2 linked regions of the Mus musculus genome follow. The protein of the gene in region 1 interacts with the protein of each later gene in a biochemical or structural test. Links are inferred from orthologs where the notes say so. Each region holds a gene or a part of one and is shown in the gene's direction. Other genes may lie near its edges.

The links.
Region 2: the proteins of Loxl1 (region 1) and Fbln5 form a complex in vitro, tested with the Homo sapiens proteins (2 studies listed by BioGRID and IntAct). The link is inferred for Mus musculus from reciprocal best matches to the Homo sapiens genes LOXL1 and FBLN5.

Annotation. Positions count from the first base shown.
Region 1 is NC_000075.6:58,310,260-58,314,702, reverse strand, and holds the start of Loxl1 (lysyl oxidase homolog 1 preproprotein), read left to right. Parts: upstream 1-1,490; 5' UTR 1,491-1,816; coding exon 1,817-3,017; intron 3,018-4,443. UniProt on the Homo sapiens protein: Catalyzes the oxidative deamination of lysine and hydroxylysine residues in collagen and elastin, resulting in the formation of covalent cross-linkages, and the stabilization of collagen and elastin fibers.
Region 2 is NC_000078.6:101,770,442-101,774,249, reverse strand, and holds part of Fbln5 (fibulin-5 isoform 2 precursor), read left to right. Parts: intron 1-2,882; coding exon 2,883-3,005; intron 3,006-3,808. UniProt on the Homo sapiens protein: Essential for elastic fiber formation, is involved in the assembly of continuous elastin (ELN) polymer and promotes the interaction of microfibrils and ELN. Stabilizes and organizes elastic fibers in the skin, lung and vasculature.

The DNA of each region.
Region 1 (4,443 bases):
TTACACTGGATCTACGATATCACGGGCAAGAGTGCTATTGCAAGCCCCCAATTTTCTGGCTAGATTAAGATATCTAGTGTCAGCCAGGTGTGGTGGCGCATGCCTTTAATCCTAGCACTTGGGAGGCAGAGGCAGGTGGATTTCTGAGTTCAAGGCCAGCCTGGTCTACAAAGTGAGTTCCAGGACAGCCAGGGCTACAGAGAAACCCTGTCTCGGGGGGGGGGGGGGGGAAGATATCCAGTGTCCCAAGACACATATGTGAAGTATCAGTCCTGAAACCCACAGTTTGGTGGGTTGATAGATGCTTCCTGGTAAGGATGGAGGGCAGAGGGGTCCTGGTTCCCAAAGAGCATCATTCTGGCTGTTTCCTCCTTAAACGGGGCCCAGGAGTTTACAAAACAGAGTCATCCAGCATTGAGGACAGATCCTTCCTGTCTTGTTTATAAGTCTCAGGGGGTAATCTTTGCCCTCCAGCTCCCAAGGCCAAACAGAAGACAGCCTAGGGGAAGCCTGGAGAACAGCATTTAGAGGGTAACCTCTTAGGTACCAAGTAAAAGTTAAAATTTACCTTTCTTCTTAGCCCTGACATCCCCGGAGGGAACAGAGAATCGGCCAGAACAGATGGAGTTCTGTGGAATAATCCCCCAGTGATCAATGTGTCCACTAACTCAGAGTTGGGAAGGAGCATGCGATTCCCAGGCCACGGCTCTCCCAAGGCCTCCCTCTCTCTGCTTTATGTTAAAGGTTCCCCTTGCCTCACAATGGCATATCTCATATCCAAGGCTGCCACCGGCTGGGTTCTTCTTATTCATGTTTAGACTCCGATTATTTCTGGCTATCAACTCAGGAAGCACAGGGCAGAAGCCACTGGAGGGGGTGGGGGGTACGTGATGTCAGCATCTGCCCTGAGCTCCCAAGTCCCCTTCAGCAGAGAGACATACCTATCCTAGTTCCCAAGCCTGTAGACTGAGACCTGGTAGAAGAGCTGAAGGTTCAGTGTCTTTGTACTCAGGACCAAACGCCCAATGTCTTCAGGATGCAGAATTACAGGGTGGCCCCAGCCAGAGGTGGGCATCTCCCCAGGGAGTCTCACCAACCAGGATGTCTCTTAGCACTAGCTTTGGAGAAGGGAGAAGGCACCCCAAGAACCCTAGGAAGAGGTGAAGTCAACGAAGAAAGTGGAATTAAAAAAAAAAAAAACCTGTGTCCAGGACTGAGTGGAACCAGCAGGGTAGTGCCCACATCTTAATCCTGCTATGTTTGCCAGAAACCCCACTTACCAGGCCTGAGTCCCCAGGGGCCCCCTCCTCCGCCCTACCTCATTCCCTTCCTCCCAGGCAGGTCTGTGGCTTGGCTGGAAGCTACAGGACTAAGGGAGCACTGATCTGTGGGACAGGCCACATAGCTAAAACCCGGCGGGCCGTAGGGCCCCGCGGAGGAGGCCCCAGCAGGCGGACCAGGTTTCTGAAACCTCCAGACACTTTCAGCCTGTTGCTTATTCATTCAGAGTGGGAAAGCGCCAGCCTAGCGAGCAGCCAGCCAGTGTGGGGCTGGCCATGTAAGGGCCCCAGGAGGTCCTGCCCGTCCCGTGCCCTACGGAAAGCCTCGTGCAGCCCTGGGCACCGCCCCTGCCCTGCCCTGACCCCTTGGCCTCGAAATGCTGTCATCGGAGGAGCCGTCCCGCTCGGGACAAGGCCAGGATGGACAAAGCTAGAGCTTGGGCAGGCGAAGAGCCATCCTGTCCTCGAGGCCGTGGGAAGAGAAGCACGCACCGAGGCCCACTCTCTGCCCACCCGGCCTCTGCAGAAGGGCCACTATGGCTCTGGCCGGAGCCGGCAGCCAGCTGAGGACCCTGGTGTGGAGTGCCTGCCTGTGCGTCCTGGTGCACGGGCAGCAAGCGCAGCCAGGACAGGGCTCGGACCCAGGACGCTGGCGGCAGCTGATCCAGTGGGAGAACAACGGGCAGGTGTACAGCTTGCTCAACTCGGGCTCTGAGTACGTGCCCGCGGGGCCCCAACGAGGGGAGACTAGCTCCAGGGTTCTACTGGCAGGCGCGCCCCAAACGTCGCAGCGGCGCAGTCAGGGGGGACCCCGGCGTCGGCAGGCGCCGTCCCTGCCCCTGCCCGGACGCGTGGGTTCGGACACTGTGCGCGGCCAAACGCGGCACCCGTTCGGCTTCGGCCAGGTGCCCGACAACTGGAGAGAGGTGGCCGTCGGGGACAGTACCGGCATGGCTCGGGCCCGCACCTCCGTCTCCCAGCAACGGCACGGGGGCTCCGCCTCCTCCTCGGTTTCGGCCTCGGCCTTCGCCACCACCTATCGCCAGCCATCCTCCTACCCGCAGCAGTTCCCCTATCCGCAGGCGCCCTTCGTAAACCAGTATGAGAACTACGATCCCGCGTCACGGACCTACGAACAGGGCTACGTGTACTACCGTGGTGCGGGCGGCGGCATGGGCGCGGGGGCAGCGGCTGTAGCCTCGGCTGGGGTCATCTATCCCTTCCAGCCCCGGGCGCGTTACGAGGACTACGGAGGTGGAGGAGGCGAGGAGCAGCCCGAGTACCCGGCCCAGGGCTTTTACCCAGCCCCAGAGAGGCCCTATGTGCCCCAGCCCCAACCCCAGCCCCAGCCCCAGCCGCAGCCTCAGCCCCAACCTTCCGACGGCCTTGACCGTCGTTACTCGCACAGCCTGTACAATGAAGGCACCCCGGGATTCGAGCAGGCCTACCCTGATCCCAGCACCGACGTGTCGCAGGCCCCCGCGGGGGCCGGTGGCACCTACGGTGGCGCTGGCGATCCTCGCCTCGGCTGGTACCCGCCCTATGCAGCCAATGTGCCACCGGAGGCCTACGTCCCTCCGCGTGCGGTGGAGCCACAGCCCCCATTCCGCGTGCTGGAGCCACCTTACTTGCCCGTGCGAAGCTCTGATGCGCCCTCCCAGGGTGGGGAGCGGAACGGCGCCCAGCAGGGCCGTCTCAGCGTGGGTAGTGTGTACCGACCCAACCAGAATGGTCGCGGTGAGTACAATCCACGAGCGCCTTGGCTCGACATTTTGGCCACTGGTGAATTGCTGGTGCGGACCCTGTTTGTTTCTTATCAAAGGCCTTCCAGTGGTGGCTTAACAAGGACCATGCAGCCCCTGCGTGCCTCTCCTCCTGAATCCAACTATTATCCATCTGGGTCAAAGGCCTATCTGGTAGGCCTGTGTTTTGACTCTGGCTTGGGGAGAATAGTGGAAGGACTAGCCAAGTTTTAAGTACTTTGCAGATCTAGCTGGGGTCATCTAGGGACGAGTGGGGAAAGTCTTGCTCCCTTGCTTCTCCCTCTCCCAGGGAATCTCTTAACACTTTTAGAAATTTCCCCTATGCCTGTGCACAAAGTGAGGCAAAGGATCATGGGAGTCTTGGACCTTCAGGGTCAAGAGGCCTTAAGAATGCTTCTAGAGCCGGGCGTGGTGGCGCACGCCTTTAATCCCAGCACTCGGGAGGCAGAGGCAGGTGGATTTCTGAGTTCGAGGCCAGCCTGATCTACAAACTGAGTTCCAGGACAGCCAGGGCTATACAGAGAAACCCTGTCTCGAAAAACCAAAAAAAAAAAAAAAATGCTTCTAGAGATGCTGCAGTGTCCTTGTGCCCTTAGTGAGGTGAGTAAACAGCCAAAGAGCTGCACTAGAACAGACAAAATTTTCAGACCCCTGAGGTGATCCCAACACGGCTGGGGATGCCAGAGCCCACTGGCCAGGGCATAAAATTCAACTGAGCACTAAAGAAACCACAGTAATGAAGATTAGTACTATTTCAGTGCATTAAAAAAAATCTCTTATGAACAAATATGTCCAAATTTTAAACAGACTCAATAATGTTTCCATAACCTGGGGCAAACTGAAAAATCAATAATGGGTCCTTTTTTTATTTGAAATGGGATATTTGTTCATTGCAGATTTTTTGTATTGATTTTGTTTTTAAACACATCACATTAAATATTACTTCTCTAGGGCACCGTACTTCATGATGTTCTGTAAAACATAACCCAGGCTCGTGCTCCACGACCTCACTCTCGTCTTGGCTCTGAGGGAGAGTCCCAGGAAATGTCTGAAGACAGGCCACCCTCTGGCTCTCCCCAGGGATGAAGATATGACCTATCCTTGGGAAGGCCATGTCATCTGCACACAAGGGTCAGGGTGGAGTAGTCTTCCTCTGCCAGATGGGCAGCTTCCACATGTGCTGTTACTGTGACAGGGGCCAACTGTTGCGTCTGGCCAGTGCTGGATGGCCATCAGCCCGTCCGCAGCTGTCCTAGAATCCCCTTGCTGATGCTCTCCATACAGGGCTGCCTGTATGTCAAGCTTTCCACCGAGTTCTCAATGCACACGCAGTGCACCCTGGGGCAGCGCCCTGTCTGCAATTGCCTTCTCCATACCAGGGTTGCTATACCAGGGCTGTC
Region 2 (3,808 bases), on another chromosome or scaffold:
AACGTTTTCAGTTTGGGCTCCTCCAGCAGGTGTGTAAGCTGACAGTGCTTTGCAGGGTGATGGCCACTTTAAAATTCCACATTCCAAAATCCTGTCAGTTAGTTGGCTGAGGAAGCCTGGCTGGGATTTAACAGTCCTCATGTTCCAGGGATCTATGGATCCACTGGGTTCTCAAAACAGATATTATGTAGACAAGTCCATTTAAAATATATAGTAAAAGTTAATTGAATTAAGTGAAAATTAAATCTAAAAATTTAAATTCATTAATTAAATGTGTGTGTTTAAGTTCATGCAGGCATGTATGTGTGTGTTTACATGTGTATGCATGTGTCTGTATATGTGCATATGCACTTGTGTGTGTGTGTGTGTGTGTGTGTGTGTGTGTGTGTGTGTGTGTATGTATGTATGTATAGGTAGTCATGCTATGGCATGGAGCTCAGAGTACAAACTGTGTGAGTCAGTTCTCTCTGTCCATCATATCAATTCCAGGAATTGAATTCAGGTTGTTAGGGATGGCAGGTGCCTTTCTTTCTTTTATTAACTGACCCATCTTGTTGGCCCTACATTTTCAATTATATATCTATATATAAAATAACAGAGTACAGTCTTTAGTATGGTAAAAAGCAGTAGAGTTTTGAAAAAAGACAAACTTGAAAGGTTTTGTTTCCAGGCTTGAATGCTGTATGTGTGTGTGTGTGCAATAAACCCATGTTGAAGTCCTATGTGTCCTCCTGAGACGAGTGTGCTGTGCTTGGTTTCTGCAGGACTTTTCTGTAGGCATGTTGTTTATGTTACATGTCACACAAAGGCAGAGGCTTGGGTACTTGTCACCATGGCTTTCCAATAGCTCCTCCTCACCTCCTCCTGGTCACATTCACTCACCATTCTCCTCAGGTCAGAGACAAGAACAGAGACTCCCAAAGTTGTTCCCAGGGTATAACCTCCATCCATCACTCTCTGCTGGGAAAATGTAAATATGTCCTGGCTGATGGTGGCGTTATTTATTGTCATAAGCTTGGAAGTAGGTTGGGACAGGAGTGGCCACTGGCCAAGCATTACTTCCTGGTTCCCCAGGGAGGCTGGGCTGTATGGGCTGAGCTGAGGTAGAAGGGGGAGGCAAAGAGCAGGGGCAGGAGTTTGTCAGGGTGGAATGAAGGTGCTTCTGCCTCGAACCAAGACTCTTGGGGAGATTCATGTCCAGAGCAGTGACGACTGGCTCCCCATGGAAACCAGTCACCTTGTTACTTTGGAGTCTATCAGGGATTCATCAGTTTTCTTAGTGTTGGCTTGTTGTGGATAGTGGGTTGTCACTTAACCTGAGGATACTGCTGCTTACCTGGTTGAATAGTACGTTCAGCTATGCTGGCTTCCTGAGCACACAGCACGATAAAACGAGTGCTAATTGATGTAAAAGCTCGTCTCAAGGAGCTCACACTTTAGGGTCCTGGAGCCTCCTAGCTCCACTCCACACATGCAAACATGTTATCTGTGGTTGAATTCAGGACCTCAGGCACATCAGGCAGGTATACTGTGTCCTCAGCCCACAGATACCTTTTGAGTGGATGGGGAGAGAGTCTGCAATTTGTAGCATCAACAGGCAGATATGCAAAGTGGGTTGTAGAGAAGTCAGTAATAGCTCGCTTCCCTTGGGTAGCCCCGCCTGCATCTGCTTGGTCCCAGCTGTGTCCTCTGTTATCTCCACACATAGGAGACTTGAGTCAGGCAAGAGGAGGAGGCATGGGCTGAGCTTGTACCTCTGTGTTTACCGTTTCCTCAGCTCCATTTGCCCAGCTGCAAAGTGGGCTCACGGAGTCCTGTGAGGATAAATGTGGGGTTCAGCAAACCACACAGTGAATGGCAGCTTTCTTTTTTTTATTTATTTTTATTTTTTTATTAGGTATTTTCCTCATTTACATTTTCAATGCTATCCCAAAGGTCCCCCATACCCACCCCCCAATACCCTACCCACCCACTCCCCCTTTTTGGCCCTGGCGTTCCCTTGTACTGGGGCATATAAAGTTTGCAAGTCCAATGGGCCTCTCTTTGCAGTGATGGCCCACTAGGCCATTTTTTGATACATATGCAGCTAAAGACAAGAGCTCCCGGGTACTGGTTAGTTCATATTGTTGTTCCACCTATAGGGTTGCAGTTCCCTTTAGCTTCTTGGGTAATTTCTCTAGCTCCTCCATTGGGGACCGTGTGACCCATCCAATAGCTGACTGTGATCATCCACTTCTGTGTTTGCTAGGCCCCGGCATAGTCTCACAAGAGAGAGCTATATCTGGGTCCTTTCAGCAAAATCTTGCTAGTGTATGCAATGGTGTCAGCATTTGGAAGCTGATTATGGGATGGATCCCTGCATATGTCAATCATTAGATGGTCCATCCTTTCGTCACAGCTCCAAATTTTGTCTCTGTAACTCCTTCCATGGGTGTTTTGTTCCCATTTGAATGGCAGCTTTCAATGGTACTTTTCTGACTTGCTGCTGGTCCATTTTGGCAGAGGTGGAGAGAAGCTGTCAATGAGCAAATCCAGCTGCCATCTTGAAAGAGGAAGGGTAGGCAGGAGAGACCCAGATTGAAAGAAGGAGTCGTCGGTGTACTGCATGTCCAGAGAAGGTTGACAAAGGTCAAGAAGGATAAAGGCTGAGGAATAGTGCAAACGGCTGTGTTTCCTCCCCTATGTGTAGTTCTTTGAGCAAAAGCCACTCTAGAGGCCAGTGTGTCTCAGAAGTGCCTATCAGGAAAATACTCTGCTCTTGGTGTGACCCAGTGATTTTATCAGCAGCCTCCCAGCTGAGACTCAGGCACAGCTTGCACTTCTGGTGGCTCCAGGGTTCTTAGACATGGGAGGCATTCTCTGGAATCATTTTTGTGTTACAGATGTGGACGAGTGTGCAACAGACTCACACCAGTGCAACCCTACCCAGATCTGTATCAACACTGAAGGAGGTTACACCTGCTCCTGCACCGATGGGTACTGGCTTCTGGAAGGGCAGTGCCTAGGTAAGAAAGAGCTCCTCAAGGCTCTGAGAGAAATTCTGGGGAGTTGATGGTTGTCATGGATACAGTACAATGTGGGAACTGTAAGGAGGTCCAGGTACGTTTTTCTTTGGGCACGTATAGAGAGCTATGAGATGACCTTACACGTGTGACCATCCATTAAAATAAGTTTTCATCATCACTAGCATTCCATATGTTTTTTTGAAATTACATTTTAAGGGATTTGGCAAAAAGTTGCTGAAATCTTCAGGAAGCTTATAGCTAAGCCAGGAAGTGGTACAAGTGAGGGTTATTCTACCCTGGTTACACATAGTCCTAAGCCAAGGGAATCCTTTTGCTTAGTTACAGGAATGTTTCACAGCTCAAAGTTAGATGAAGAATGCCAGTGTCATCCTTTCTAGCTCTGACACCTGCCACTCCACTCTGCCCACCCACAGCTGTGTTCTCTCCAAAGGTGTCACTCATCACTAGTTGACAGTTTTATCCCTTGCAGTTGTCATTGGCTAGGGATATTTTTTTTTTCTTATCCTCTGAATTTTCATTTAGCCAAGTTGGCTTAAAGTTAGAATCAAACAACAGTATAGAATATATACATAAGTGGAAACAAACAAACAAACAAACAAACAACCAAAACCAAAACCAAAACCAAAACCAGAAACCGTTCTTCCAGGTCTCTGGATTGAGGCTGAATTTACTTTGTGGACTATCTGAAGAGTCCTTGAGGCACGATAAGCTGCCTGATCTTGGCCTGCTTCTCCTTTCCAGGCAGGCACAGAAGAGCACATGGGCCTCCGGGAATACGATAG